Lepisosteus oculatus: one gene and its partners. The protein of the gene in region 1 binds, or shares a complex with, the protein of each later gene. Links are inferred from orthologs where the notes say so. Each region holds a gene or a part of one and is shown in the gene's direction. Other genes may lie near its edges. The genes, in order: polr2eb, gtf2h4, polr1c and gtf2e2.

Region 1 (8,087 bases):
AGGTTAGCATTTTGAAATCAAAAGTACCACAATCAAGCACATTACACCTCGTCTGACAGAAAGCAACGGGCCAGAAGCAAGAGCCGTTCAGTCCCAGAGGAAACCCTTTCCCGTGTGGGAGAAAGCACTCCGTCCACGGGAATGCGACACTTTCATCCCAGTCTCTGGTCCGCAGAGCTGCAGTGTCTTACCACACTCTGAAGGAGCACGCAGAGCAGTGCCACCCGTCTCAGGCAAGGCATGACAGTCCTGGATTTACAGCTACTAACGCAGCAGTAAATTCGATTAGTCCAAGGAGCCACAGCTGACTCAAAGAAATCCCCAGCTCAACCCGTTTTATTCTGGACCCTGCCCATCCATACAGCTCCGCATTAGTCACCACTTCAAACCGGATTCGCCCAGCTGATAGAGCTGATCAATGTCCTGCACTGTGTGTGGACTAAACCCATGTAACTGCAGAGGATCCAAGCAGTTCAGCGAGCAAAACATAAGAAAAGATACTGTTATCTTCCTGTGCCCATGACAGCCTCAAGATAAACACATTACAAGTCATAAAGCTTGCTGGAACCGAGGACAAAGGTTACAATACATATTTAGGAAGATGTCCCAACACTAAATAACACTGGACAGCGCTGACTTGACAAGACCACACCCACAAACGCACACTGGAGAGCAAGACGTCTCCACGTCTCACATTCGCGTTCTGAGAAAATGGGGGGAAAAAAATCCAATCATGTGAGCACTGAGGAAGCAGACAGGCTCTTGGGGATATTTCGGAATTGGACTAAAGAGTCAAAATGCTTCCTCGCTTCTTCCTGAAAGCCTGTTTCAGCCACAGCTGGCCTCCTGCAGTTGGGCCGGCTTCTCTCGAGAAGTCTACCTATCCAGAACCTGCCTGTGAAATACTCTCGTGCTCACAGTCATGTCCTGTTACCTTAGAACATCCCGTCTCCCTTCTGAGCAGCACAGATGCCCATTCCAAGCCGATCCATCATTATCGATATTGAAACTCCATTGTGTAAGAGATGCTGTGGCACATTCAGCTGTACCACATGGCGTGGCAGAATAAGAAAAGGAAGGGCAGCACAGTGGCGCAGGTGTCAGCAGTGCTGTGTCACACTGCTGGGGCCCTGGGTTCAATTCCTGGGAGTTTGCCGTCTGCGTGGAGTTTGCACGTTCTCCGTGTGTTGAAGTGGGTTCCCTCTGGGGGCTCCGATCTCTCGCCACATTTCACACGGAGTGGGAGGTCAACTGACTGGGCCCTGGTGTGAGTGTGTGCGTGTCGGGGTGTGTCCTGCGATGGGCTGGCGTCCTGTCTAGGGGGGTACCTGGACCTCCTGAATTGGATGAAGTGGTTAGAAAAAGTGGTGGATGAATAAGAAAGGTTACAAAAAAAGAGAAGGGCATTCAGCAGATCCAGTTCATCTGGTAATCAGCAGGTAATCGATCCGAGGATCTCTCCCAACTGTTTCCTGAAATTAGCAGGGCATCAGCTTCAACAACATGGCCGGGTAGCATGTCCAACACTCCTACAACCCTTTCTCCCATTTTTAGTTTTCAATGCTCTTCCATCATGATGCATTTCCTTGGCTTGTAGCCGCACTGGTGTCATAACGAAGAGCAAATGTTTAGCATTCTGCATCCTGGGTAGTTTTGGGGAAGGATATGGATTGCTCCTTGTTATAAAAAGTATTTTCATAGGATCTCATGCTAGACGTACTGGGGCAAAGGTGTAGTTAAGACTCTGGATTCCTGACAAGAGGATTGCAGGTTCAAATCCAACATAAAGGCACAGCTGGCATAGACTTGAGAGAGTCTCAACCTGAATTCCTCTAGTTCATTTTTAATATTAAATCTAAACCAGCTGCAATGCAGTTTATTTGCACATCCTTTTGTTTTTTTTAAAAAAAGTCATCTCGGTTGTTTGCAAGCGCCACAAACACTAAGCTTTAAAACTGCAGAGAATAAAAATGTTTTTTCAGTCTGTCCCTGAAACTTGAGGTTTCTTCCACTCTGTGACACTTCTCAGTTGCCCAAGACCCACACACACACAGTTCTGCAATTACACCAAGCCTACTGCTGCTATTAATACTGAAGGAAAGTTAAGCAAACATGCAATAAGCTTGCAACACAGCTGAAGACTGAAAAATTCCAAGATCGGAGGCTGCCTGCGTGTAACTGAGAAAATTACATCTTCGTGACCCGAGAAAACCAGAGCCTCGCAAACCCCTTTTAAACGTTTCTGGGGTAACGGACGCTTAAACCACTGTCAGATTTCACCGAGTCGTCCACACAAACACACGCTTGAACAAGGGGAACTCGCACCAGCAGGACACGAAAACCAGTTTAGTATCAACCGCAGGGCTAAAACGGTTTCTACCGCCTAACCAAGACACGAGTTCTTACACACTTCATAAGCGTGCCCAGAAAGACAAGGAAGCCAATTATCTTTAAACACATATGTGTGTGTGTGTAACTGGCAACTGCAGGGCAACCTCTGATGTCCGTCTTTAAACGAAAATTTAATTTAATAGGCGTTTCAAAACAGCTTGGCCTTCTTTTGAGACATTTATTCAGTTACTAGAGGGGGTGGGGGTGGGAGTAATAGAACCGTAAATGTAGAGGGGGTTAATTGATGGCAGACTCCAAACACTGACTTTTGCCCCACGCACACGCACGCTCTCGGCCTGCAGAGAACAGCCGTGGTCAAGCGCGCGACTGAGCTGACGTCAGGGCGAGGGCGCGCGCGCGCTGGCGGAATAAATAAATCAGTTTTCTGAGAGCTATTGACTCTATGCAAATGAAGCGCTTCTCACAATGCTCTCCTGTTCCACTCGTTTGTCAGGGCTAGGAGCAAAGCCCACAGCTCTGATCATGCCATTTGTTTTGCAGCAGTTGGATTAGAATCGAAGAGTCTCTGGGCAGCAAAGCTATTCTGCCTCTCGAGAGCCTGATATTTGAGGCAGGTCTTCATTTGTGCGATTGGTAAGGGCTTGTAAATGAACCAAAGGGCGCACTGAGAAGCAGTAGAAGGAGAAATCACGGGTCACTGTATGCACGCAAGATAGAATGAGTTACAGATCGAATAATCTGTAACTCATTCTGTTACTTGATAGTTAAATCGCCCAAAACCGCCTTTCTAATGTAATATAATCGTACTTGTCGCGTTTATTGTCGTTAAATGACGTTTTTAAATCATGGATTGAGACAGAAAGATCATCACAGTCCTAATTAAACTTGATTCATTGCTACAATGACGTATGTTAATAATACAGGTGCGATTTTAAGCAATAAAAAGATTTTTAAGGACAAGGCTCTTCCCGCATTGTTGTTAAGTTTTTTTGTTTGTTTTTGCTGCCTTGCGGTTTCTAAATCGCACGCAGCATTCATGGTGCATCACCATCCTGCGGATTACACACAACCTACCCAAACAGACTCCCAAGATCTTTACAATCATGAGGCGAGCGACAGAGGTTTCGGCAGAAAACACCAATGAAGGCCCGCTCCACCGTCTGCCTGAAAAGCAGCACAGCAGTAAAGCCCAGTTCTCACAATACTGTCGCCACCTGCTCTCGACACCGCAGTTTCCGTCATGTGCAGAATGACGGGGAACCAATAATAAAGGATATTTAGTGCACTGACGTGATTCATGTCTTATAGTATTAGGCGTGTGTATTGCCAGAATTATAATAATTAATTAATAATTGTTTACACTTATATAACGCTTTTCAGGACACTCCTCCAAGGCGCTTTATAGGTAATGGGGACACCCCCTCCACCACCGCCGCCAATGTGCAGCATCCACCTGGAAGAATTAGGCTAGTGCGCACCAATATCATTACTTAATAGTTTAACAGTCACGAGTATTGCAAACCCTACAGTGACAGAAAATGACCGTACGAAGCTTCACTGATCTTCTTCAAAAAAGTACTGCTTACTGACTCAGCGTATCTAAAAATATCGACTTCGAAAGCAACGAAGTGTAGGACCAAGCAAAGAGACAGATAATCACACAGGCAATCAGATTACAAACAGAACGCGAATGCCTTACCATAGCTCGTACAATCGCTCTGCTCGCCACCAGTCCGAAACACAGAGACCGTGTAACTATCTGCATCGCCCCACGGAGACTTAACTCTCCCGGCCAGGGCCCGCCCCGGAAAGAAGACGTTGGGGTCTTGGGCTATTTCCGGTTCAAGCAACTGCCTCACTGGGGTGGCCATTTTGGACCTAGTTCCTCTCCAAAGGGACGCGCAGAAACTAGCGCTGTCCCCGAGCCAAAATGGCAGCAGTTCAAAGCGCTTTCCAGGTAATGGGGACTCCCCTCCACCACCACCAATATGCAGCCCCACCTGGATGATGCGACGGCAGCCATAGTGCGCCAGAACACTCACCACACATCAGCTATCAGTGGGGAGAAGAGCAGAGTAATGAAGCCAATTCATAGAGGGGGATTATTAGGAGGCCATGATTGGTAAAGGCCGATGGGAAATTTGGCCAGTACGCCGGGGTTACACCCCTACTCTTTTGGAGAAACACCCTGGGATTTTTAATGACCACAGAGAGTCAGGACCTCGATTTTACGTCTCATCCGAAGGACGGCGCCTGTTTACAGTATAATAATAATAATAATAATAATAATAATTGCTTACACTTATATAGCGCTTTTCTGGACACTCCACTCAAAGCGCTTTAAAGGTAATAGGGTCTCCCCTCCACCACCACCGTCACTATACTGGGGCATTAGGACCCACATGAGCCGCAGGGTGAGCGCCCCCTGCTGGCCCCACTAACACCCTAACACCATGTTGAACGATTATTTTAGGTCTTTATTGGACCTTAAAAAAATGGAGAACTCAGTAGTACGTGGAAATAATAGCTAATAGCACCTTTTGGCTCAAATGGGCTTCTAAAATAGGTCATAAGCGATTTACTGATCTAATTGTCAAAAACGTAGTGCTATTATTTAAGAATAATACGATTTAAATATATTCTCAGATAAGTACGAAAGCTGATGGTGAAAATTACAGGCAAATGCTTGGATGCCAGCAAGGGGTCCATTGTGGCGACGGAGCGACGGAAGTCAGCTTGTTTGCGCGAAAGGAGGAAGCGTGTTGGAGGAGAGCGATTGAAGTTTTTTTCTGTTTCTTCTGAAAACAACGTACAATGGATGATGAGGAGGAGACATACAGATTATGGAAAATCAGGAAAACTATCATGCAGGTAAGAATGGAGCGAGTCATTTATTCTTTCCGTAAAAAAAAAAGAAGATAATTTGGGTATGCGCCGGTGTTCGCGTGTAGCTCTTCCGTGGGACACGTCTAGCCCCTTTCACGATCTCGGAATTGTACCATAAAAAAAAAGTTTTTTCAAAGATTAAAAAAAAAAGGTATTTCTCAGCCCGTGGTGACGGCTGCTGTGTGGATCGCCTTCTAGCTGTGTCATGACCGGGGTTACCTGGTGACCCAGGACGAGCTGGATCAGACCCTGGAGGAGTTCAAGAGCCAGTTCGGGGACAAGCCCAGCGAAGGCCGCCCCCGCCGGACGGACCTCACCGTGCTGGTGGCTCACAACGATGACCCCACTGACCAGATGTTCGTCTTTTTCCCAGGTGGGAGTTCGGAGTGCTTCACACCCACATGTACACATAGTCGCGCCACGTACGTCTAAACCAACGTTTGCCAAGCAGATCATCAGGCAACAGTCAAATATTCTGACATGCAAGTGTTGGCGACATAGCCAACGTTTAGAAACTTCGTGTTCGATCTTAATCACTCTGGGAGCCGTCAGGGTCCATGCCTTGCTGACTTCTCGTTCAGCCCTCTGTGTGCCTGGGAGATGGAACAAACTGTGCAGCACATCCTAGGGGATCCACACTCAGTGGAGAACTCCTCAGCACAGCTGCACCAGAAGCTATCGCTGGCCCCAGGGACTTTGCATGTGTTCAGTAAACTGTCCACAGGACTTTAACTGTAATTGAACCCTCAGAATCTCTGGCATGTATAAGGGGGGGTCTCAGATCTCGTCCAGTGTTAACTTCAGAAGAGCCTCTTTTTACTTGGAGAATGACCAGGCACATGTGCTCTTTCCACAGAGGAGCCCAAAGTTGGCATCAAGACTATTAAGATGTACTGTCAGCGCATGCAGGAGGAGAACATCACACGAGCAATCATCGTGGTGCAAATGGGCATGACACCCTCTGCCAAACAGGTACAACCCCCCCCTTAAAAACCCCCCAGTATCGCTCAAACCTCGCAGTTAGCCATGTTCACTTTCACCTGATCCTCCGTTAAACCAACATAACATGTTTAACCTGCTGCAACATTCGCACTGTGAGGTGAGGACATAAGATCCTTTCAAGTCCACATGCAGTTATATATTTAGATCGATAGAGGTTGATATTTTTTAGCAGAATAAGGGATGGAAGTTAATTTAAATTAGCAAGACTTCTCATTCAGTGAACACGCAGAGTTAAGCGGGAGATGAAAACAGCGAACATGAATAAAGTGCAGTAACGTTGTAGAAACTGTAAGCCCAAGGTGACACAAGCTTTGTTTCCAATGAAGGATGACATCGGTGATCTGAGACTTGTACCCATCGTGTGAGTAAAAGAAGCACACAGTGCCCACTAGAGGGGGCAGGGGGGAAGGTTTTGACGGTGGTGTGGTGTTTCAGCTGCATTGTTTCCTGTCCTTCTCCAGTCGCTGGTAGACATGGCCCCCAAGTACATCCTGGAGCAGTTTCTCCAGCAGGAGCTGCTCATCAACATCACAGAACACGAGGTGAGGAGAGCTTCAGCGCAGGCATGGCGAGCTGGCCCCAGAGCTGCGGCTGCCCCCACTGCCAACAGCACTGTGGAACTCTGGAACAAGCTACCCAGCCTTATTGTTGAAGCTGTCGCCATGGTTTCTTTCACAAAACAGCTGGACGAGATCCGTCAGTCATTTAGCTACTAAAAACTGTACAGATTAGACCTTGCAGAATGGCCTCCTCTTATTTGTAACTGGAAGAGACTTTGATCTCTATTATTTTTAAGTTAATAACTGCAGATATCACATTTGTCTCTTGACGGGGATAAATGTAGTTATGAACTGGCCGATGCTTTTAGCCAAAGCTGCTTTTGTGCCAATTTGTACAGGAGGGTGTTTTACAAGAGCGGTCTGAGTGAAGTATCTTGTGCAAGTCGTATCTTGCACAACTGCAATGCCCCACGTCCTGTGACCCCTAATGTGTTCTTCTAAATATTTCTTTTCGTTTCTGCTGTTTATTATATGTATGCCGTTGTACAGCACTCTGGGTTGCTTGAAAAGAACTCCTGAGTAAAATTGCATGAGGTTCAATAAGAGACGTGTATTATTTACAGTTGTGTACCTTTTGGATTATCAAGTGCAGGGAAAAAAAATCATACGTGTTTATATAACGGAACAAAGGAAGTGTAAGAAAACGGGGTTCGGAGCTGTTTGATTTTGCTAGTGCTGTGTTTTCTTGTTCTGCTGTGCTGTCAGGACTATGAGCTGGTTTCCCTTCTGCTTGTCTTGCAGCTGGTTCCAGAGCACATAGTGATGACTAAAGAAGAGGTGACGGAGCTGCTGGCTCGATAGTATCCTTCTCGCGCGGTTTGACCCACATGTCTTTTTCACACTCGGCTCACCGTGTGCTGTTCCGAGAAAAGCAGAGAACGTTGTCTTCTGGATGTTCTGGGAGTTGTGCCTGACAATATCGCAAAACATACAAATCGCCACAGAAGTCTGTCTCTTAGACTCTGCTAATTAGCACTGCTTTGCCTCAATACTTAACCCCTGTTCTCTGTACACTGTACTGGTGTCCTGTGACCTTTAGAGTGGACGTCCAGGTCATCCTGCTCAGGTATAAGGCGACACTGAACACTCCTACTGTGTGTTCTGCTGCCTCGGACCTTTGCTCTTAATACTAGGCTCTACACGATGGGCAGCAGAGCCTCTCGTGCAGCAGCTCTATGTGAAGCTCACTGCGCAGGTCCATTAGAGACTCTGCAAGGCCAGTGTTCTATGCAACTTGCTCTCATGGAGCGCAAGCTGGGGTCCGCGAAAAGACAAATTCCTAATACA
Region 2 (7,356 bases), on another chromosome or scaffold:
GGGTCCCATTTTAGAGACGCAAATATTAAAATATTCCGAAATCCGGTCCCAGGAATTTCGGGGAAGGGATTCTCACCCGGTGTTACTCTAGACTTGGTGGTAGAAACACGGGGCAGCCGGTATGAAACGGTATTAATCCTGTGGGACCGGGAAACGTCATGTCTTCAGGGAAACAGAGAGGTTTCGGGCGCTCGGCGCCCATTGCGCTTTGTGAGGCTGGGTTTGGTGTTGGGTTTTTATCGTGTTCAATTGGTTTTAATTTTTTTTTCTGCTCCTCCGCCCCAGGGGACGCGTCTCCGGAGGACCGACGGGGCCGGAGAGAAGACGCGGGCAGCGTGAGTTGGGTTTTTTATTTTTTTAAATGTATTTATTTTTTTTTTCATTTATGCTTCACACAATAACAACATTCGCAATACAAACAGGAGCACGTCTAACAAGTCAAGACGGAAAAAGACCGTCGGGGGTTGCACAGGACTACATCAATTCGAGCTATGAAAAAAAGATGAAACACCTTCAATAAAAATAACGTTCAGATGTGTGCACTTGGAAATTGTCTGCGAATACCCCCCTTACCTCCGGTTTAAAATGCTCCAACACAGGGGTCTTCCCGGACCACCTCATTTCATGCATATAATAACGTGCCGTTATAATACTTAAAAATTTATTACAAACGACGCAGGCAGCGTGAGTACTTACTTGAGTACTTGTCGTATGAGTACTTTACTAAAAGCGTTATTTCTCCTGTTATTGGGCGCGCTTGAAAGCCGGTCGTGTGACCCGGCCGGCGGTGGTGTTATTGCCGCCAGCGATGGCTGTCTTGCAATGTCGCGGTGCTGGTGAGTGTATGTCCTGTGATGGACTGGTGTCCTGTCCAGGGTGTGTGAGTGTGTGTGTGAGTCCTGTGATGGACTGGTGTCCTGTCCAGGGTGTGTGTGTGTGTGTCCTGTGATGGACTGGTGTCCTGTCCAGGGTGTGTGTGTGTGTGTCCTGTGATGGAGTGGTGTCCTGTCCAGGGTGTGTGTGTGTGTGTGTGTGTGTGTGTGTGTGTGTGTGTGTGTGTGTGTGTGTGTGTCCTGTGATGGACTGGTGTCCTGTCCAGGGTGTGTGTGTGTGTGTCCTGTGATGGACTGGTGTCCTGTCCAGGGTGTGTGTGTGTGTGTCCTGTGATGGACTGGTGTCCTGTCCAGGGTGTGTGAGTGTGTGTGTGTCCTGTGATGGACTGGTGTCCTGTCCAGGGTGTGTGAGTGTGTGTGTGTGCCCTGTGATGGACTGCTGTCCTGTCCAGGGTGTGTGAGTGTGTGTGTGTGTGTGTGTGTGTGTGTGTGTGTGTGTGTGTGTGTGTCCTGTGATGGACTGGTGTCCTGTCCAGGGTGTGTGAGTGTGTGTGTGTGCCCTGTGATGGACTGCTGTCCTGTCCAGGGTGTGTGTGTGCCCTGTGATGGACTGCTGTCCATCACTGTCCATGGACTGAGTCTGAGCGGCGGTAAGGACCGGGCGGTCTTTCTCACGCCCCGGGTGTGTGTGTGTGTCTCCTCTCCTCGCAGGGAGACGCCGGGGCGACGGACTACGCCGCCGTGGAGGTGCCGGTGCTGAGGGGGCGCCCGCGTCCCGGGCCAGCGCCGCCGCCCCCGGGTCTCTACTCGGAGATCTCCTGCCTGCCCGGAGAGGGGGGGCGGGTGTGACTCGGGTCGGGGGGGGAGGAGAGAGAGACTGTCCTGCAGGTCCGAGCCCCGGAGAGAGAGAGGTGGGGGCGAAACATTCTTCTACCTACAGCACTTGGGAGGAATAGAATCATTGTTAAAAGATCGTGAGGTTTTTTTTGTTTGTTTGTTTGTTTCAAGTACAACGAAATCTTTTTGAAACCGTTCATAGGAACGAGGACTGTGCAGGAGAGGCGGGGGCGGCTGGCTCTTTTCCAGTCTCCATCATCTCCCTCTTCCTCCGGGGGGACCGGACCGGACTGGACTGGACCGGACCGGACCGGCGCTTTAGAACCAAACAAAACACACAAAAAAGGGGGGTTTTGAGGTTCGGAAGAAGCGCTCGGGTGAAGAAGGAGACACGGAGGGGAGGGAGAGACTGTGGGGACAGAGGAGCTGGTGTCCGTGTCTCTGCAGGTTTAAAAACGTGCGTGTTTTTTTTGTCTTGCTGGGCCGTGACAGTAGGGGCCCGGGGTCAGTGGGGGTCAGCTCGCGCTGCCGTCTCGGGCGGCTGTGTGGGAGGAGCGCAGACCAGGCCCCTCGCCTCGCGCCGCTCCGGCTACCGCCCGCCCACGCGTGTGGTTTCACTGCGTGCGAGCACAAGACGCGCGTGTCGAGTTCACAGCTTTTAGGGAGTTGTTGTCGGTGTTTTTTTTTGTTGTTGTTTGTTTGTTTCCAGCAGCGTCTAGATCAATCGTATCGGTCTGTACAGACAGACGCGCCACATCCGGGGTAGCTGCGTGTCCGGCGCTATACACGGTGTGTCTGCCCCACGCCTGTTGGTAGCGGGGGCTGTGGGCTGCAGTTCCGCACCTCCCCCCCGCGCTAGATAATGAGCTCGTGTGGTGTGAGTCTGGGTGTCTGGGTGCTAGCAGCAACAGCAGCAGCACAGTGAGGCAGAGGTTCAACTGAGGCGCTGGGGTGTTGTCTGTGTGGAGTTTGCATGTTGTCCCCCCGACGCTATACTGGGGCAGCAAGACCCCACGCAGACCGCAGGGTGAGAGCGCCCCCTGCTGGCCCCACTCACACCTCTCCCAGCAGCAGCAGCCTCAGTTTTTCCCAGGAGTCTCCCCTCCAGGTACTGGCCGGGCTCACACACCTGCTGGGGCTCCAGTGGGGAGAGGGGGCTGCCCGGGGTGCGTTTCAAAATGCCTTATTTATGTAAAAAAAAAAACAATAACCGAAACGTTCACTTGGAGACCTGGAGCACGACACCTGGAGGCGAAAACTTCAATACTTCCGAATCCCGTGAAACGTTTGTACGTAATAAAATGTTTTTCAGTTTCGAAACAAAGACCCATTTGTGTCCAAATTTAAGCACGAGATGGAAGGATATCATCTTGTCCGTGATTTTCTTTCTCTTTGGGTGTGGTTTAACAGCCTCGGTAAACCTACAGTATTATTAATTAGCAGATAAGGACTTTCCGCGACACGGAAGACACGCCCCCTTAGTCTCGGGACTGGGCTCCTGATTGGCTCATGGAAGAGACCAGAGACGCTCCTGATTGGTTCACGGAGGAGACCACCGACGCTCCTGATTGGTTCACAGATAGGCGATGATGGACACTCCCGATTGGCTTACAGAGAACGCGGGAGAGGAGGAGACGGAGCCGTGACATTTTAAGGCATCTTTTCTACGAGTTGCAACCCTTCGGTCCCTTTAAAGAGGGCAGTTTCAGGGTCGAAACGAGGAGGCTCTCTAACGTGCGTTTCGGAAGAGACGGACCGCACCAGGGTTCAGAAATATCTAGTAAGCCGATCACTCCCGATAATGCCCTGTAGGAAACATTTACTGGTGTTTTTTTTTTAATTTAGGCTGTTCGTCACTTAGTTTAGAAACCCCGGCGCACTTTTCCACACCTCCTGGGCGAAACGAAAGGTTTCAGAAGCTGAGTTGTGGGGAAACGTATTTTCCTCCAAAAAATAGTCGGAAGTTTTCTAGGAATCGGTTACGCTCGTAAAGCGAAATGTTTCTTGGTTGGGTATCGAGTCGGAGGAGTTTCTCATAGCCCGAGGAGAGACGACTCATCGAGGAAAATCTCTCTTCGACTGTGAGTGAGACTGTGGTCGGACTTCCTGACGATCATGTCCTTACACCTGTTAAACCCCAAACGGATCGACGCAGTTTCAGTGCCTCAGGAAGGAGAGAAACCCGCAGACACCCTCCACTGAGCCCCTGAAAGGCGAGCAGAGATTCTCCGGATTGGTTCTCTGAAAGGTGACCAGAGGTGACCAGAGACACTGCTGATTGGTTCTCTGAAAGGTGACCAGAGACTCCTGATTGGTTCTCTGAAAGATGACCAGAGACACTCCTGATTGGTTCTCTGAAAGGTGACCAGAGACGCTCCTGATTGGTTCTCTGAAAGGTAAGCAGGGACACTGCTGATTGGTTCTTTGAAAAGGTGACCAGAGACTCCTGATTGGTTCTCTGAAAGATGACCAGAGACACTCCTGATTGGTTCTCTGAAAGGTGACCAGAGACGCTCCTGATTGGTTCTCTGAAAGGTAAGCAGGGACACTGCTGATTGGTTCTTTGAAAAGGTGACCAGAGACTCCTGATTGGTTCTCTGAAAGGTGACCAGAGACGCTCCTGATTGGTTCTCTGAAAGGTAAGCAGGGACACTGCTGATTGGTTCTTTGAAAAGGTGACCAGAGACACTCCTGATTGGTTCTCTGAAAGGTGACCAGAGACGCTGCTGATTGGTTCTCTGAAAGGTAAGCAGGGACACTGCTGATTGGTTCTTTGAAAAGGTGACCAGAGACTCCTGATTGGTTCTCTGAAAGGTGACCAGAGACACTCCTGATTGGTTCTCTGAAAGGTGACCAGAGACACTGCTGATTGGTTCTCTGAAAGGTAAGCAGGGGACGCTGCTGATTGGTTCTCTGAAAGGTGACCAGAGACACTGCTGATTGGTTCTCTGAAAGCTGACCAGAGACGCTGCTGATTGGTTCTCTGAAAGGTAAGCAGGGGACGCTGCTGATTGGTTCTCTGAAAGGTAAGCAGGGACACTGCTGATTGGTTCTTTGAAAAGGTGACCAGAGACTCCTGATTGGTTCTCTGAAAGGTGACCAGAGACACTACTGATTGGTTCTCTGAAAGGTGACCAGAGACACTACTGATTGGTTCTCTGAAAGGTGACCAGAGACACTGCTGATTGGTTCTCTGAAAGGTGACCAGAGACACTGCTGATTGGTTCTCTGAAAGGTGACCAGAGACGCTGCTGATTGGTTCTCTGAAAGATGACCAGAGACACTGCTGATTGGTTCTCTGAAAGATGACCAGAGACTCCTGATTGGTTCTCTGAAAGGTGACCAGAGACACTGCTGATTGGTTCTCTGAAAGGTAAGCAGGGGACGCTGCTGATTGGTTCTCTGAAAGGTAAGCAGGGGACGCTGCTGATTGGTTCTCTGAAAGGTGACCAGAGACACTGCTGATTGGTTCTCTGAAAGCTGACCAGAGACGCTGCTGATTGGTTCTCTGAAAGGTAAGCAGGGACACTGCTGATTGGTTCTTTGAAAAGGTGACCAGAGACTCCTGATTGGTTCTCTGAAAGCTGACCAGAGACACTGCTGATTGGTTCTCTGAAAGGTAAGCAGGGGACGCTCCTGATTGGTTCTCTGAAAGGTGACCAGAGACACTGCTGATTGGTTCTCTGAAAGGTAAGCAGGGGACACTGCTGATTGGTTCTCTGAAAGGTGACCACAGACAGTTTTGTTTTTGGGGCTATAAAAAAATAGGGGGGGGGGGGAAACAGACGTTTCTGATTGGAGCAGCGCCCGTCTCGGTGGGTCGACTGTCCCTCCTGAGCGCGGCCCGGCCGGGCAGGTAGATGTTGTTTTGTTTTCGCCGCCCACGCCTGCCCTGTTGTCTCACCCTCTCGGTGCCCCGCGGGGGCGTGAGAGCAGTCTGCGTGGAGGCGCGCTGTGGCTCTGTCACCCGGCCACACAGATTTCCATCGGAGGTCCCCCCCCCCGCGAGACGAGACGGTTACTGGCTGGTACCCGCGGTGTGGGTTTGGGCGCGTGGAAACAGCTCTCGCCGCTGTGTTGTTTCGACGCTTTTCGACGTAGATTCCTGCCTGCAGCTGCGGTACTGAGACAAGAACTATGCTGCCCTGGGTGTCTGTGTCTGCGTGTGTGTGTGTTCACGGTTTCCCCGATGCCCTGCGCGCCCAAGCCACGCGGGTTCCCAAACGGGATCTTTCCCAGCTCCGTAGAGACCCCGGGTCGTTTGCACAAAAACACACGTTGCAGTGGAAAAAAAAATACAGATCAAGGCAAAGACGATCAGCTTTTTTGTTTTTGCTGATGCGTCTGAGTGTGTAGGTGGGTACAAATGTAAGGGCCTGACACTGTCCAGCACTGGCGGGCTGTAGGAACTGAGTCTCTTCAGTCTGAAGGGAGTGTCCCGCACTGACAGGCTGCAGGAACTGAGTCTCTTTAGTCTAAAGGGAGTGTCCCCCACTGACAGGCTGAGGGAACTGAGTCTCTTCAGTCTGAAGGGAGCGTCCCGGACTGAGAGGCTGGAGGGACTGAGTCTCTTCAGTCTGAAGGGAGTGTCCCACACTGACAGGCTGCAGGAACTGAGTCTCTTCAGTCTGAAGGGAGTGTCCCGCACTGACAGGCTGGAGGAACTGAGTCTCTTTAGTCTGTAGGGAGTGTCCCACACTGACAGGCTGCAGGAACTGAGTCTCTTTAGTCTAAAGGGAGTGTCCCCCACTGACAGGCTGAGGGAACTGAGTCTCTTCAGTCTGAAGGGAGCGTCCCAGACTGAGAGGCTGGAGGGACTGAGTCTCTTCAGTCTGAAGGGAGTGTCCCACACTGACAGGCTGCAGGAACTGAGTCTCTTCAGTCTGTAGGGAGTGTCCCGCACTGACAGGCTGGAGGAACTGAGTCTCTTTAGTCTGTAGGGAGTGTCCCACACTGATAGGCCGGAGGAACTGAGTCTCTTTAGTCTGAAGGGAGCGTCCCGCACTGACAGGCTGGAGGGACTGAGTCTCTTTAGTCTGAAGGGAGCGTCCCACACTGACAGGCTGGAGGGACTGAGTCTCTTTAGTCTGAAGGGAGCGTCCCACACTGACAGGCTGAGGGAACTGAGTTTGTTTAGTCTGAAGGGAGTGTCCCACACTGACAGGCTGAGGGAACTGAGTCTCTTCAGTCTGAAGGGAGGGTCCCGCACTGACAGGCTGGAGGAACTGAGTCTCTTTAGTCTGAAGGGAGCGTCCCGCACTGAGAGGCTGGAGGGACTGAGTCTCTTTAGTCTGAAGGGAGTGTCCCGCACTGACAGGCTGCAGGAACTGAGTCTCTTTAGTCTGAAGGGAGCGTCCCGCACTGACAGGCCGGAGGAACTGAGTCTCTTTAGTCTGAAGGGAGTGTCCCACAGTGACGTGGTGAAGGAACTGAGTCTCTTTAGTCTGGAGGGAGTGCCCCACACTGACACGGTGAAGGAATCGCCTGTACACACTGTGTACCCTTTGTGTGCAGAAGAGCTTGTTCCCCACCCCCCACCACCCTCGGTGTCCTCGATGGCATAACACACCGACGGGGCGCTCTGAAAATTGCGGGGCCTTCGATTTGTCTAACGTCCCCGGTTTCTCCTCCTCTTTCTAAACCTCCCCCATGCCTTTACAATAACATTTACACTTGCTTAGTAACG
Region 3 (8,193 bases), on another chromosome or scaffold:
CTGCTGGAGTTCATACTCCACACTGAAACGACACTGAAAAAGATCCTCTGGGCTGCCATGAAACTATGTGCCTCTTTGATTTTTAGCATTTTTGCAATTCTGCAAGGTTTGGAAAGCTTACAATGACAGTTCCAGATGTCTTCATTCCATGCAGCAAAATCGCAACCAAAGTGAACACCAGCATCAAGGGCCCATACAGCTCCCCAGCAATTTTCTAGTTAGGAGAAAGATAAAGAAATCAAACCCTGCAGTTACAAATGTGCATTACTCTGAAAATATAGTACAGAACATGCAAAAAATGAACTCTCTGCTCTCATTGCCTTCTTTTTACCAGCAGGCCGACAGAACGACTGAGACGGTTGGTTATGAAGAGCCTTCCCCAGCTCTTGATAACACTGCAGCCTAAAGTCTCACTGCGAGATTAATAACCTGTCACCTCAGGTCCCGCCTGGAGATTAGAACTGTAACCAGCAGCCTTAACCTCACCACAAGGTTCTATTAATCACAGTCTCACTGAGAGACGGTGCGAACTCGGGAGTCTTACTGCATGACTGATGATGCCAGACGGCACACAACACACTAGACGAGTCTCCCCTTCAGACCCAGGCAGACAGCAGACACCCCGATGCCCTGCGGGGTTGCTGCTGAACCCAGCTCCCTTGCGGGGTGTTTTACTCAGTCAGGAGTCTCCCCGTAAGGCTGTTTCTCACTGTCCCCCTGACGGTGAGGGTCTAACTCAAACCACTGTAGACTCACTGAACCCTCATATAGGGAAAACCTGCTCCCAGCAGGTGCTGCCAATACCCCAATAAGGTTATGTGCGGACCTATTAGACATTTTCTGAGTATCTGGAGTGTCTTGACTTATCCTAATTCTGAAACTCCAGCTACTCGGTTACAACACATTAGCTCCTAGAATCCCATTTCCATATCCTTAATTGTCATTATTATTTCCAGAAACTATAAAGAAACAGCCATACTCAGTTTAGTCATGGTATCAGTTTCTACACTGAAAATGGACAGAAATCGGGGGCTAACTGCTACTTTGAATGCAAAAAAGAAAAATCCAAAACAGTTTATAATGGCCACAAATCTAGTTCAATCTTTGTCTCTTTATTTTTTGCCATTATTTACTGTACGCCATCCCGTTTTTGAGCAGAAAATGTAAAGAAACAACTGCGACACTTACGTTTCTTAATATTAGAGAACATTACTCTCTGTTAAAAAGTACAAAGTTTCGGGGAATCATAGCAGTGCCACTTACCTGTGGAAAGTTAATCATTCTTACAGGAATCAATGATTCTATCAACCTGGAAGACAGTAATGGAGTGAATAAGAAAACTAATTTCAAATACTTCAATGACAACGTTCTGCCAACAGAATTACCCTAGAGTGAAAAACAACTATTTGTCTTAGTAAAGATTACATTTACAGTAGAGTCTGGACATTCGCTAGGGTTTGGTACAGAAAACTGTCATGAATAGCCAAATTCGCTTATAACCAAATTCACTCCTATACTATTGCATAATATACTACAACATTTTGTATGTGGGGTTAAAAGACATAACAAATCCTTCCTTATAGGATATTTAAAGTACTAATGCATTGGTTTGAAGTTAATTAGAATAATATCGATCAACAAAAACAAACAACAACAGAGATCATAAACGTACATTAATCGGACAAAATAAACAACATGAATCCGGGCTGTGCTTGAGAAGAGCAGTAAACCTGTCAGTGAGCTTGTGTCTCCAGCCTGTCATTCCCCACACTGCTGACACAGACCCTGGAGTGTTTGTTACTGTAGAGAAACAGGACCACGCTGAGGCGCGGGTGCTGGGTAGGGGGTACGAGGGCAGGGGGCAGGGGGAGGCTCACGCACTAGCTAGATGCATCTCACAATCCTGGTCTGTTGTGCAGCTGGTTTGAGAGTTGTGCTTAACCTTCAGCTCAGTTTCATCCCGCTCTGCTCTTCTTCCATCCAAGACTTTGTCAGCCAGACCGAATCACGGAACAAGCAAATTCGTCAATGTTAAATTCGCAGAGGTCGCAACCCTACTGTACGTGTTTTTGTAGAGCCAGATCAGAAGGGAGAACTCCACTGCATTTCTAACACAGACAGAACGCTGTATCCTCACATTCCTTACCTGTTCCTGACTTGAACGGGCTCAACGTCAAAGTAGGGTCTGAGGATGTCGATGTTGGCATACAGGTTAAAAGCCTTCGAGGCCTGCCTCTTCCCTGCCTGCCACACCTAGGCGGAAAGGAAAACAACACATAAGCCTCTTCACGCCTCCAGCCCCTCACCTGGCTGCTCGGAGCCAAAGGTTCCTTCTTTCCCATTCTTTCAGTTCCTGTACAAATGTGGGAGCAATCCAAACAAATTCTAAAGGATTGCAATGTCAAAAGTAAACGAAAGAAATTAAGCTCCTTTTTAATTGGCCCAGTTTTCTGCGGGCGGGTAGATTAAATTCTACAGATCGCAATCAAAGCAGCTACAGAACAGAGGACTCATCAGCGGTCTGAACACAGGCGACAGACGAGAGGAGGCCATTTAGTCCGTCTAGCCATACTGTTAGTCGTGAATGAATCCAATGATCTTCATGATCTTGAAGCCCCAAAGCGCTGGCTTCAAGCACATGTCTGGGCAGCTTGTTCCACACTCCCCCCAACTCTTTGTGTAAAGAACTGGCCCCTGCTCTCGCTTTTAAGGGCGCTTTCATCTAACACCAAGCCCCGACAGCACTTGGAAACGTCTGTGCGAGGGGACATGTGGAAATGAATAAAGACGCGTGGCGCTGTGCTGCACGACGGCTGGTCTGCGCGTCAGGGCCCAGGATCTTGGCTCGGCCCCGGAGCCCCGTACTCGGCGGGCCCCACCCACTGACCTCGTCAGCCACCTGCCGGCCCAGCTGCCCCCGGAAGCCCTTCATGCCCAGGAACTCTCCGTCCTCGCCCTCCTCCGTGGCGGCCGCCTCCTCCGTCACCTCCTCCTCCTCCTTCATGCGCTGGTGCATCTCGCCCATGTCCTCGAAGCTGGAGCCCGACGTGTCGTCCATGTTCTCCATGTCGATCACGGCCGAGCCCCCGCCCTGCTGGCGCACCACGCACGGGGCAGGCTGGTCAACCCGGTCCCCGCAGATGACCGGGTCGGCCACGACAAAAACAGACATTTACAGCACCACAGAACTTTTACACCCATCACATAAAACACTGTTGTGAGGCAGCTCACTCTCAGCTCCTCGGGCTGTTCTGATTCTGCCAGGCGTGGGGATTCTGGGATTAGATTTGTTATTTTGAGAAGAATGTCCAACTAATCCCAGAGTATTTCTCTCAGTGCAGCAGAAAGTGCATCTTTGTCTCGGCTTCTTCCCACTGGCAGTGAAAGCACCACCTGTCCTCTCTGGACAGCCAGCGCTGCCTGTGTCCACTTTCTAGGGCCAGGCTGTGGTCACTGAGCCTGTCCTCTCTGGACAGCCAGGTCCGCCTGTATCCACTTTCTAGGGCCAGGCTGTGGTCACTGAGCCTGTCCTCTCTGGACAGCCAGGTCCGCCTGTATCCACTTTCTATGTCCAGGCTGTGGCCACTGAGCCTGTCCTCTCTGGACAGCCAGGTCTGCCTGTATCCACTTTCTATGTCCAGGCTGTGGCCTCTGAGCCTGTCCTCTCTGGACAGCCAGGTCTGCCTGTATCCACTTTCTATGTCCAGGCTGTGGCCACTGAGTCTGTACATGTGTACTCCTACAGCAATCCAATTTGTGTTGTGTTTCTCAATATCTTACCACATTACTGGGCGGAGCTACCCAGGAGCTACAGCAGACGTGCTGGAGCTGAAAATTGCAGGACATTTGGCATTTTATTGAGCTACCAGCACTTTCACCTAAAACTGGACTGTTCTCCAAATATCAAGCCATTCATGAAACTGTTCACAAAAGGCATCGATTAAAGCGAATACAAAAACTGAGTCCGTTTCAAAACAACCGAAACAACACCTATTATCCACAAGGCAGCAAATTCTAAACACACAACAATCTCAAGACACTGGTGAAAACGTCTCCACCTTGTGAAAACAAAAGGATAGGAAGACTTACAGGAATGTAGAAAACGTCAGCAAAAAACAACAACAACAACAACAACAACAACAACAACAACAAAAGCTGATGAAAGGGTAGTGGTGACTGGAATTTATTTTTAATCGTTTTGTTACGATATTCGGCGACGCTTTTTGTTCATCGCTGGTACAGACGATTGTTTTTTTTGTCTTAACTAACGCTGGCTGCGCTAGTAGAAAGAAGGAGCGGTGTTTTAACTAGAAGGGACGGTATTATCTCCGAAGTGTCAGGAGAGAGAGAGAGTCGCTCTTGTTTACCTGAATCAGGTTGTCATCGAAGCTGCCCCAAGCCTCGCTGTTGGTGCTCTTATTTCCTCCCGGCGCGGACATCTTCGGACACGCAGGACTGTCACTCTTGCGGGGACGGAGCCCTTATATGCTAAGACTGAATATGCTCGCACAAAGGCAGGAGAAAAGTCGCTCGGCGAGACCCCCAGCTCGGCGCCGCTGCTCGCTCTCGGCCACCAGGAAGCACACCCAGGCCTGGAGACGTGGAGCTCGCGGGACCTCTCGCGAGACGCGAACGTGACTTCAGCTCTTGTTTCGTGTGTGTGTGTTTGCACAGGAACAAGTGAAGGTTTATTCCCGGGCTGGAAAGAGAAGAAAAGAAACGCAACGTTTCGGATGTGGGGCCTTCTTCTCCTTGACGCCGGAAGAAGGCTCCACAGCCGAAACGTTGTGTTTCTTTTCTTCTCTTTACAGCATGGGATTGTTCCTTTGCGACCTACTTGAACTATCTTTTTTTTTTTTTGTATTGGTGCTTGCAAGAGGTCCGGCAGTTTCCCCTGAAATATAGGCAAAATCTGCTTCTTTTTTCCGCTTTATTTCATATAAATGAACAGCGCTGAGCTATGCATCAGAACGAAAAGTGTCAGGCGCGCTATCTACAGTTTTTAGCTCCAAATCAAGAGCAATAGGCATGTTCTTACACAAAGAGTTGTGGGAGTGTGGACACCAGCTACCCAGCCACGCTGTCGAAGCCCTTATCCTCCCTTCTTTAAAGAAACATCTAGACGAGCTCCAGTAGAGTTCGATTAGCTACTATTAACAAAAAATAGCTAGACAGATTAAACAGCCGCCTTTTATATGCCTTAATTATCTTAATTATTGCAGGCGATAGTGCATGACCGCCGTGGAACGCACGCGTCCACTAACAACATCTTCCAGCAGCAGCCTTAGTTTTTCCCGGGAGCTCTCCCATCCAGGTACTGACCAGGCTCACAGCTAAGACCTCCTGCTTAGTTTCAGTGGGTTCGTTGCCAGGTGTGAGTTGCAGGGTTCCTGGCATGAGCTCGACCATGAAGGAAATAAAACATACTAGGGTACTGTGAGTTACAATAATATAATATATAATTGCAATACTGATTCTTTTTTTAAGAATTTAGTGTCAGTTAAATAAAAGTAAAGTTTATCATTAAATAACGGAACTGCATTGTCAGGAGTTCTCAACTTGACAGTTATATTTTTTATTGCAAAGCACAGCTCGATGAGCGGAAATGACGTTGAAGAACAGGAAAATCAACAGTGTGCAGAAATGGCGGCGCCCAGGAGCAACGTGGAAGAGATTCGCGATCGTGTGATTCTGGGCGAGTTTGGGGTCCGAAATGTGAGTGCTTGTTTCTAGGTGGTGGAGAGATGCTGGTTCCTCATAGGCTATGAGATAGTACAAATAAAAACGTATTATTATTGTCGTAAGAAAGTTTGTTGTGTCATGTGTACAATTCTATGCCGACGACAGTTAAGTAACCGCTTTTCCAGATACGCACACTGTTTATGAGGCAGACTCGTTTACAATTTCTCTCTTACAATGTAAAGCGTGTTGTAAAATACATAACTTGTTTTGGGATAAGGGGTAATTAAATGTCTTTTCTTCAAAGGTTCATACGACAGACTTCCCTGGTAATTATCCCGGGTACGATGACACCTGGAACCGGAAAAAATTTGAAGAGGTAAAGATAAAACTCGGCTGTAATCTTTGCTGTCAGTAGCTGTTGCTCATGGAAGAGGTTCCCTGCGCTTTTGTTTATCATGTGTTTCAAGCAACGCGAGTATTTTTATTTTACAGAAGTTTAGAATCGACGTGATTCGAATGGATGAAAATACGCTGGAGTTCGACATGGTGGGCATTGACGCTGCTATCGCTAATGCATTCCGTCGAATCTTACTAGCAGAGGTAAATATCGCCCGAAAATAACAGGCTCTCAATTAAAAAAAAATAAAATAAAATGTGTACTATTATAATTTTTCCTATTCTACGTATATCTTTTTAGCTGGTAAATTCTACTTAAGTCTATTTTCTTTTTGAATTGTGTGGACCAATGACTGTTGAATATTCCTTAGCTTGTATGATGTACTTACAGGAAAATAAAAAGTAATATTAAAATAAAACCTTAAGGTGACCGTAGCTGCAAATTTAAATGCACACTTCATGGTGGCTCAAGATAGTTTCGTGAAAACCTGTTTCAGGCTGTGGGTGTTGTTGCAGAGTGCTTATTTTCAGTTATCTGAAAAAACCTGACCCATTGCTTGGAATAGCCCAGGCTTAATTCTGTAATTAAGACTGACACCTGAAGAAGGCTCCACGGCCGAAACGTTGTGTTCTCTTTCTTCTTTTTTTCAGCATGGAATAAACCTATTACTTAATTCTGTAATGCTGTCTTTGCTAAGGTTCCCACGATGGCTATAGAGAAAGTGTTTGTGTACAACAACACATCCATTGTCCAGGATGAGATTCTGGCACATCGACTGGGACTGATCCCCATCAAAGCAGACCCTCGTCTTTTTGAGTACCGGAATGCAGGTGAGCAGAATCATCGTTGGCCTCTGTAGTGGAAGTTACAGCCGTCTCTCAGTACAAGCTGCATTTTATCCTGAGAGAAATGATGTGGAAACTGTTTTCATATGTTTGCACAGGGGATGAAGAAGGCACAGATATTGACACAATTCAACTGCAACTAAAGATCAAGTGCACCAGAAATCCAAGAGCTAGCAAAGATTCCTCTGATCCCAGTGAACTCTACATTAACCACATGGGTATGTTTTGTTATTTACATCTGGACTCTTGAGTCAAGAGCATGGAGTAGCTGGAAAGAAGAGATAACTGCAACATGCCCTTAACTGAGGAAGGAAGCATTGGTTAGCAGCTCCTAATGTGCTATAACTAACAAAAGCAGTTTACTGTACATGCAGTCTTTCCAATTGGAGACTGTTAAAAATATCAAGATTGATTAGTGGTTCACAGCCTTGTCATTTTTTCAGCTGAAATATTGATTCCTTTAGCTAATAGATCCTTTGAATTGAACTTGCTTAATTTGTTTTATGCTAACCCTGCACTCAGTTTTTTGTTTTGAAAATACCCTCCAGCAGAAGTGTTATCATCATGAAATCTAACAACCCTTATTTCAGTCTAAACCGCTCTTAAAAGGTGACTAATGATGTCCAGATACACTGTACCATACACCCTCATCAGTCCTTGTTCTGCAGAAATCTAAGTTCTTAGGTCCCAGGCACTCGAATGAGGAGAGTCCAGAAATTGATATAGGAATGTTGCTAATTACAGTAGCCATACAGTTCTCTCAGAGCTGAAAACATTCTTAAGAAAAAGGCCTACCAAGCAAGCAGAGATCTATTGGCTTAAGTCATTAAGACCTCCATTAGAATGGAAAGACTAAGAGACCAGATTCTCTCTGAAATATGGACTTAGAACTCCTGACATGGATAACGTATTATGCAGAACGTGTGACTCGTTAAGAAGTGTTTCCTTCTCTATTTTTCCAGGGGCCTTAAGAACATATAAGTTTAGAATCATCACAGTTGACCCCAGACCATGCAAAAGAAGCAGCTTTAAATCAACATCGCCATTTCATACATGTAAGGAGATTTGTGTGTTTGAGTTCTGTTTCTCTGCTTTGTCCCAGTTTACTCGAGGGACATTAAGTGGACTCCTCTCGGGAACCAGGCAGACCTGTTTGCGGAGGCGGGTATCAGCCCTGTTCATGGAGACATCCTGATTGCACAGCTGCGGCCCGGCCAGGAGCTGGACATCGTCATGCATTGTGTGAAGGGTGTAGGTAAGGACACCGGC
Region 4 (7,719 bases), on another chromosome or scaffold:
AATCTCCTCTTGAATGAAACATCATACAAAAGGACAATCAAGCAGCCAGTAGTGTACGGTTATAACTCTCCTTTAATAAAATATGTTTTTTTACCCATGTTAAAGCATATGGTTCCCTGAAGAGAGAGAGAATTCTGTTTTTCCCACATACATACTCCCTGCATAACATAAATATACTGGTTTAAAATAAAATTATGTTTATGAACATTCATACAGAACGGATAATTAAACTTAAATTATTCAAGCTTGAGTACACAAACAGTGTACCAGAGCTTAATTCGATTTCCAGACAACACTGAAAGAATTCTCAATCTTGCCAAAATCTTCAAGCTCTACCAACGCTAGTTCCGATCACAGGTTTCGCATTGTTAGGTTTTGTGTTGCTGCTGGCCTGCCTTCTCCCCCCTTTGTCTCTGCATCACAACGGCACTTCTGTAACAAACTGCTTCTGGGGTTCCAGCCTAGTTACACGCACAGTTGTCACATGCCTTAATGTAGCTCTGCAAGCAAGGCAATGTCCCTGATTAGTTCAATGTCTTAAGAAGCCTTGTGTGAGAAAATGTGGCAGCGGAGAAGCTATAGTAGTCCAGAATCTGACCTGACAGCGGATGTGGACGAGTTCTAATTTACAAAAAAAAAGGATCAATCTTTTAACTATCTGTTCCTTCGATTTGGAGACATAAAGAAGAACAATCTTTAGATATATTTTAAGAAATTAAAATGTAATATTGTATTTGAAAAATAAGGCCTTCCCATTGCTGAAACACACAATTTTATACCAGTAATTCAGCAAAAATCCCTCATAGCTGAACCCTCATTGGTGACAGGATTGCAGCAGAAAATGATAAAGGCTTGTTTTGTTAAACGACAGACTTTAAATAACACATTCATTACATGTCATAAACCTGAGTCAGTCAATTCCATTCCTAGAGGTTCGGAGTCCTGTAAGTTCTAACGGACACTTCTAGAAGTAGCAATTGAGTAACATTTAAAAAAAACCCATGATAAGTATGTAAGAAAGGTAACAAACAAGATAAGACCATTCAAGCCATTGAGCTTGCTTGGTTGCCAAGGATCACATCCAGCCATAACCTTTGCGTAAATATGTGTCGTCTGTTCTCATTGTTCAAAACATGTTTACATAGTTTCCAGGTCTCACTATTGCACTTTAGTTTTTACAATATTTTTGGCCCTGGGTTCAATTCTGGAGCTTGGGTGCTGTGTGGAGTTTGTATATTGTCGCTCATTTCACATGGGTTTCCTCCAGGTGCTCTGGTCTCTGTCCACAGCCCAAAGTCAAACTGGTAGGTTAACTGGATTCTACAAACACTCACTCTTATGTGACTGTGTGCAAGTCTGTGTGTGTCTGTGCCCTGAGATGGGCTAGTGTGCCGTCCACGGTGTACCCCAACTTGTGCCCACTACTTGCAGACATCCCAAGACGTTCCGGGAGTCTCCTGGAAATCAGCATCTCTTCCCTGACTCCCCCAAATGATCCATAATTTCCCGGAAATCGCCTCCCCCCAGCCCACTCCCAATTTTTTTCTCAAATTTGCTAAAGAAGCCGCATCTCTGTACAACCCAAATGGACTAGTGAGTTATAGTATTGATAGTGTATGGCATATATACACGTCCCCCCACCCCAAACCGCAATTTTTCACAGCAGGGATGACCCCTCTCCCTGAAATCAATTTTTCCAAAGTTGGGATGTCTGTAACTGCGAAATAGAATCTGGCACCCCCCGACTCTGAAATGGAAGCAGTTAGAAAATATAAAAATCTGGAATAAAAACCTATAGGACTCAAGTGTATTTTGGTGACTAGACCTGTCTACCTATGGTTTAAACTGTATACATAAATTATAAAAAAAGTTTAGATAAATGCATGAATTAAATCAGCTTTTACATACATAATGTACTACAATACATAATGTAAACATAATGTACTGAAACACTCCATTTCCAATAAGAAAAAATAAAATATAAATATGATACAACTATATTTGACAACAACAGGCCTGTGTTTAATTTTAACAATGCTCTGTGTAGTTAATTTAAAAATTGTTCATCTTGGCAAGCGGTAGTGGTACTTTTAAAGATCTGTCAAATAACTAACGTAAGATACAGAACCTGACTGTACAAACTTTCTGAACGTCACCCGAGACGTAAAAACAATTAATACTTATGCCTAAAAATGTGCAAATATACGGTAATTCCCAAGGGGAATTATTCTTTTCAACCCTTTCGTCTGCTTAAAATATAATGAGAAAAACGAGGTTGCTGAAGTAAATGCATCTCAAATCATATAATCAATATTCCATGTGATACAAGGGATACAGTTTATATCAGTTTACTTTTTTCATTTGACCATTTTTGTTTTGTTTTAAGGTCAGTTCTAATCTGCAATGGAGACAGACAATATTCAGGGACAGACCAGGAGATCTACCGTTTGAATAAAGACGTCAGCTTTAAATCTGAACAACTCAGTGTTCAAACTTTTATTTCTGAAATACGCGTCTTTTCAGACTCATTTCTTATTTTCCAGGTCCACTACGGTAGACAAAAGCTCACTGCAACTATGAAAAAAAAAAACAGATTTTCTTTCAACTTAATGTAGGTAAACATGCGGTTGTGCATTACACATTCTTCGAATAACTGTTAAATCACAGCCTATTTCAGCTGAATGAGCTCTGCTGTTATGTGTCTCCCCTCCAATTTTCTAAAGTTCGGTAAATGCACTTTCGGGAGGTCTTGATGTGAGTTTTACATGTCCTGTTAATCTTAGCTACGGAATAAATTACTCACCATCGAGTTGAGCGGCGAGAGGAGCCACGCAGAGGGCGAGGAGCGCAGTGATTGCAGACAAAATCACCGTCCTTTGCTTACCATCAGTCGAACTGGCCATTTTTACAGATTTTGAGTCTTCTCCCACACTAGCTCTACCACCCTTCAGTTTTCTTTTTTTAATATGTCTTTCGGTTTTCATGACTGACACTTCCGACCCCTCCTTTTTGTTATTTTTTGACACCATACTAGGGGGAGAGAAGAGGGACAAAGTACGATCAGATACAAAGTTTAGGCAGTGATTAGGATGACTTTCCTGATATTCCCGTATATGCTATTTCAAACAAATTATATTTTAGCCCGCGTTTGGCTTTATGTAAAAACTAAAACCCACTTGCACGATGACAGTAGCCTGGTTTATCCAACCAGAGGAATGGAAAATATCACGTAGTGAACCGTTGGTTTAATAATCACTTATATCCCATAGTGTGGCAAATGTGAATTATTTTTAAAACGTGTACTTTGAATTAGTCTGAACTGTGGACTGAAACAGCGACAGCGATAAACCCTCGCCAGTTTTGACTGAGTCCGGTAAAAGGAATAAATCACAGCGTTTGTAAAATGAATGTATCCGATAGAACTGCAACACCATACAGATCAACCGACAGCAAATATCTATACCAGTCGATTTAGATAGACACTGGTTACTTTATCAATGTGAAAAAGCGTCTTGACATGCGTGTGGTCACGAATTAGTTGGACTTAATGCTGTATATGCATTGTATTTGTTGTATATCACTGTAAGATGTTTTGAATAAGGGCTCCTGTCTGTATTGTTTTTGGTGGATTAAGCAATCAGTCCTTTATTAAGGTGTACAGCTGCGTGCGTTACTTAATAATACGTCTCTTAAAAAAGTCTTCTTTGAAGTCGCCTTTAGGTTATGTAATTCCTTAAAAGTAATTTGTAAATACATTAAATCTAGGAAAGTTATTGCTCTAATCTACTCAAAATCAAATTTACTGAAATAGAAAATTATGGGGAGTGAGCTTCTTGACGTGTGTTTGAGTTTTGATAAAGTGAGAAGGTACTGTGAGGGTTCAGATCGTAGGTGACAGAGGCTGGGAGTTTAATTGTTTGATGGTGCGGAGATAAAAACGGTCTCTGAGTCTGGTAGTCCGGCCCCGAATGCTCCGGTACCGTTTTCCAGATGGCAGAGGGTCAAACAGTCTGTCATGATTAGATTTAACGGGATAAAGTCTACAACTGTGTTTTGTAATACAAGTATATATAACACTGTTATAACGTCTGGGTTATTTTGAAATGATATTCATTGTAAACCTTGTGAGAATATTTAGTAGTTAATGAGTGAATATGCTCGTCTATTAAAAATCTCAAACCGCATATTATCATTGTTCAGTTATTTCGAAAATAATAACAACATATAACGCCCTTGTAAAACAATCTTGAAAAAAATATTTTTTAATAGTGACATATTCAAGAAGGTTAAAAACTCAAGGCAGACCTTCCAGATCTCTGAGATTTATACAGTATGCTGACTTGTGTTATTATGGGATTAATCTGTTTCCAAACCTTTGGGAATACAATAACCTTGACCAATAACCAGTCAATTTTATTTTTCATATCACGCCCAATGTATCTTTGTATTTATACATGCAAAAAAAAGTGTCCTGTTGTCCGCGTATACACACATAAACAAAAGCCAGCCCGGGCGGCCATATTTCCTCTCCTTGGACTCGGAGATCAACATTACGTCATCCAGTGAGTCCTGTGTGCGTAACAGACGCTGCTAGTCGAGAGTCGAGTGTGAACGGTGATACTCGGAAGCAGCGCACTCTCGCCTCCAGGCAGCCAGTGTCTGTCGAGTGTATAATGGAGCAAACTAAATTTTTCTGAATATCGTTTGCTGAAAATTTAAACTATTTATAAAACTATATTTTCCCTCCCTGTAGAAGCAGCTGGAGACAAGGTACTGGAAAATTCTTATTTTGATTTTGTATGTGATCATAGTCGACAACACATTATGTAACGCTTTGGTAGATGTGAGCGTGTAAATAATAGTTGCTGGTGTGCTGGGTTTGTTGTGTGACAATAACAGATCCGGTGGTAGTGTTATATACATTGTTGTGAAGAATTCGGAAATGTTAGATTGACTTAGGTTTATGCTATCGGTGTTTATTTGGCGATATGCTTTGGTAACAAAAGGTGGTAACATGTCATGTTCCGAATGTGACGAGAAACTACATTACTGGAGCGTAGAATAAAATAATTACTACTGACTGAATTTTGGAGACCAATGTATTTCCCAGTGACCAAAACTGATATATTTTTAAAAAAACCTGTCTGTTTTGGTTATTAGTTATAAAATGTTTTGATCGTTAGGGATAAAGCAATCATTGGAATCTAACAAAGAAGAGAAGTAAGAACAACGTATAAAATTGATTCCACGACAGTTCAGATATACAACATAATCCTTTCGCACATTTGGTAGAAATACACTGTAGGAATTAAAATATCAATACATACTTCATAAATACCTCTCTAACAAGAGCTTGTTAAAAGAATAACATTTACACGGACGATTATAGTTTCTTGTAATCATGTGGTTAATCTGTATGGCCTGGATTGCTTCATAATGTTTCATAAGACTTGTTGGCATGTGAACGTGTAGCAGGAAATTGTTTTATTTTCATGTCCCCTTTTTAGCCTGTTTAGGATGAGCTAAACTAGCTCTTGTTTCATACTGTCAAAAAGTTCAATTGCTAAGGGAAGGATCGCTAACTTTTCTACACTGACAAAAAATGCTATATAGGACTATAAAGAGCTTGAAGCAATCAACAGTGAGATGTATATCATGTCATCAGCACATTCAAGTTCTGAAATGGGTATAATAATGATTCCTTACACTTATATAGTGCTTTTCTGGACACTCCACTCAAAGAGCTTCACAGGTATTGGGGATCCCCTCCACCACCACCAGTGTGCAGCCCCACCTGGATGATGCGACAGCAGCCATAGTGCACCAGTACACTCAACACACACCAGCTATCAGTGGGGAGGAGAAATGAGTGATGAAGTCAGTTCATAGATGAGGATTAGCAGGAGGGCATGATTGGTAAAGGCCGGGGGGGGGAATTTGGACAGGACAAGGCCTGGATTTATTGTAAAGCTGGTAAATTCGAATAATAGCCTAGACTAATTTGCTGCAGTTGTGTGGGTGTTGTAGCTTGTGGTGTGTGTTGCCTATGTGTGGCCGAGGTGAACCTGGCTGTATTTTCTTCTTCACTCTGTGTGCTGGCAGGATGGATCCGGCTCTGCTCCGCGAGACGGAGCTCTTTAAAAAGCGAGCTCTTTCCACGCCGGCAGTGGAGAAGCGGCCAGCCTTTTCAGACTCCTCATCCTCCAAGAAAAAGAAGGCCAAATACGACCAGGCGGGCTCCTCTGGATCCAAACATGGGACAGGTCAGTACGCATTAATGATCACAGCGGTTGCTGTGATTCTCACTATCAGTAGCTGTTTTCGGCGAGGGATGGTGGACATGGTGGCAGGCAGCCGCAGTGGGAGTATGTCACCAACAGAGCTGCAGTTCTGCCACTGTCACCCTTTTTGGGAAAACATGAGTTGAGCCCCATTTTACAGAGATCTGCTGTTTGCAGAAAAAAAAATGTTATGGATATTGCTCAAGGGGTCTCCTGCTTTTGACACAACTAGTGCAGTAGGGCACGTATTTAATATAATGAGCTTGCTACAGTCTTAATGTACCAACAATATCATATTTCTTTCCAAAAAACAATAACCACAGCTTATGAGATCATGCATGGTGTTAAATAATTTTTTTCAGTCCGTTCAGTTGAAAGTACAATCACACGTACTGCCCCGTAATCTTAAAGGTGTGAGTTCAATGGTTCTGAATGTCAGATCTCACAAATTAAATATACATTTAGTGCTGATGGTATTATTAGTTAGGATGAGGGCAGTTGCAGAGCTTTGTAATTTGGGGCTGTGAGATAATCAGTGATAAGTTTGCTTGCTGCAGAGAAGGAGTGGCCTGCTGTTGCTTGCTTTAACACCACTGTTCATTTTTGAATCAGTAGTGTGCTTGGCTCAAAACCTGCAATTTGTTTTCTCGTTTGTAAACTTTCTTACGTGTAGTGTTATGTCATTCAAAGAATCATTAGAGAATTGCAGTAATTATACTGTGGGATTAACATTTGTTCTACAGAATCATTAACAGTGATTAAATTGACATTTCAGCTTCATAGTTAAAATGAACATTTGAAATCTTAATTTGGAAAAATGTTAATATTTCTTTGCAGAGGTTTTTCTTCTTTGTTAAGAGGGTCCTCAGGATTGATCCAGCAGTTTGTGTTTCCTTTTCCAGGGTACTTGGAAAAAGCTTTTAAATCTTTCTACCTTTTGACCTCTATTTTAACTTTTATAACCTTAGTTTTTATTTTATTCTGTAAATCACTTAAGCCCTATGCTGGACTGAAAGGTGCAATGGCACCTTCTCTGAGACATGCTGTAAGACATTCACTATGGAAGCCTTATGGCTTCCTCACTTCTGAAATGAACATGCCACTAGGTGTCACAGTTGTCTGGTAGTCTTGTTTCCTTCCCCATGTTACTCCAGCCTTCTCAGCTGGTAGAGTCTACACTAGCAGTCTGGCAGTGTACTGGGGAAGTCTTACCACTTCTTAGGTTAGATCAGTCTTGTTCTGGAAGTCCTGGGATGCGTCTTCATCTCTTTTAAAATACTCCTTGTAACAGTAGATAAGCCATTCAGGAGACCTTCATTCACACACTTTAGGGGGTCTAGTTTCTTTATGTATTTCTGTGCCCATCATCTACACGAACATATTATCAACATGCCGTTATATGACAGTTTGTATGGATGTTAAATGTGAGTATTGTTTT

The links.
Region 2: polr2eb (region 1) and gtf2h4 share a complex: the UniProt entries of both Homo sapiens proteins name them as parts of the TBP-based Pol II pre-initiation complex. The link is inferred for Lepisosteus oculatus from reciprocal best matches to the Homo sapiens genes POLR2E and GTF2H4.
Region 3: polr2eb (region 1) and polr1c share a complex: the UniProt entries of both Homo sapiens proteins name them as parts of the pol I pre-initiation complex. The link is inferred for Lepisosteus oculatus from reciprocal best matches to the Homo sapiens genes POLR2E and POLR1C.
Region 4: polr2eb (region 1) and gtf2e2 share a complex: the UniProt entries of both Homo sapiens proteins name them as parts of the TBP-based Pol II pre-initiation complex. The link is inferred for Lepisosteus oculatus from reciprocal best matches to the Homo sapiens genes POLR2E and GTF2E2.

The regions. Positions count from the first base shown.
Region 1 is NC_090724.1:6,669,265-6,677,351, reverse strand, and holds the start of polr2eb (DNA-directed RNA polymerases I, II, and III subunit RPABC1), read left to right. Parts: upstream 1-5,045; 5' UTR 5,046-5,166; coding exon 5,167-5,223; intron 5,224-5,436; coding exon 5,437-5,611; intron 5,612-6,094; coding exon 6,095-6,210; intron 6,211-6,701; coding exon 6,702-6,782; intron 6,783-7,541; coding exon 7,542-7,600; intron 7,601-8,087. UniProt on the Homo sapiens protein: DNA-dependent RNA polymerase catalyzes the transcription of DNA into RNA using the four ribonucleoside triphosphates as substrates.
Region 2 is NC_090709.1:40,992,851-41,000,206, reverse strand, and holds the start of gtf2h4 (general transcription factor IIH subunit 4), read left to right. Parts: upstream 1-4,267; 5' UTR 4,268-4,309; intron 4,310-5,384; exon of another isoform or gene 5,385-5,396; intron 5,397-7,356. Other genes in the region: uncharacterized protein, read left to right, coding at 286-335, 1,545-1,682. UniProt on the Homo sapiens protein: Component of the general transcription and DNA repair factor IIH (TFIIH) core complex, which is involved in general and transcription-coupled nucleotide excision repair (NER) of damaged DNA and, when complexed to CAK, in RNA transcription by RNA polymerase II.
Region 3 is NC_090712.1:17,542,746-17,550,938, reverse strand, and holds the start of polr1c (DNA-directed RNA polymerases I and III subunit RPAC1), read left to right. Parts: upstream 1-4,779; 5' UTR 4,780-5,314; intron 5,315-5,586; 5' UTR 5,587-5,595; coding exon 5,596-5,715; intron 5,716-5,986; coding exon 5,987-6,058; intron 6,059-6,174; coding exon 6,175-6,282; intron 6,283-6,776; coding exon 6,777-6,909; intron 6,910-7,022; coding exon 7,023-7,142; intron 7,143-8,026; coding exon 8,027-8,179; intron 8,180-8,193. Other genes in the region: protein YIPF3, read right to left, coding at 122-214, 1,264-1,309, 2,147-2,253, 2,888-3,094, 4,368-4,439. UniProt on the Homo sapiens protein: DNA-dependent RNA polymerase catalyzes the transcription of DNA into RNA using the four ribonucleoside triphosphates as substrates.
Region 4 is NC_090696.1:69,245,634-69,253,352, forward strand, and holds the start of gtf2e2 (transcription initiation factor IIE subunit beta), read left to right. Parts: upstream 1-4,597; 5' UTR 4,598-4,770; intron 4,771-6,102; 5' UTR 6,103-6,103; coding exon 6,104-6,263; intron 6,264-7,719. Other genes in the region: hgsnat (heparan-alpha-glucosaminide N-acetyltransferase), read right to left, coding at 2,804-3,029. UniProt on the Homo sapiens protein: Recruits TFIIH to the initiation complex and stimulates the RNA polymerase II C-terminal domain kinase and DNA-dependent ATPase activities of TFIIH. Both TFIIH and TFIIE are required for promoter clearance by RNA polymerase.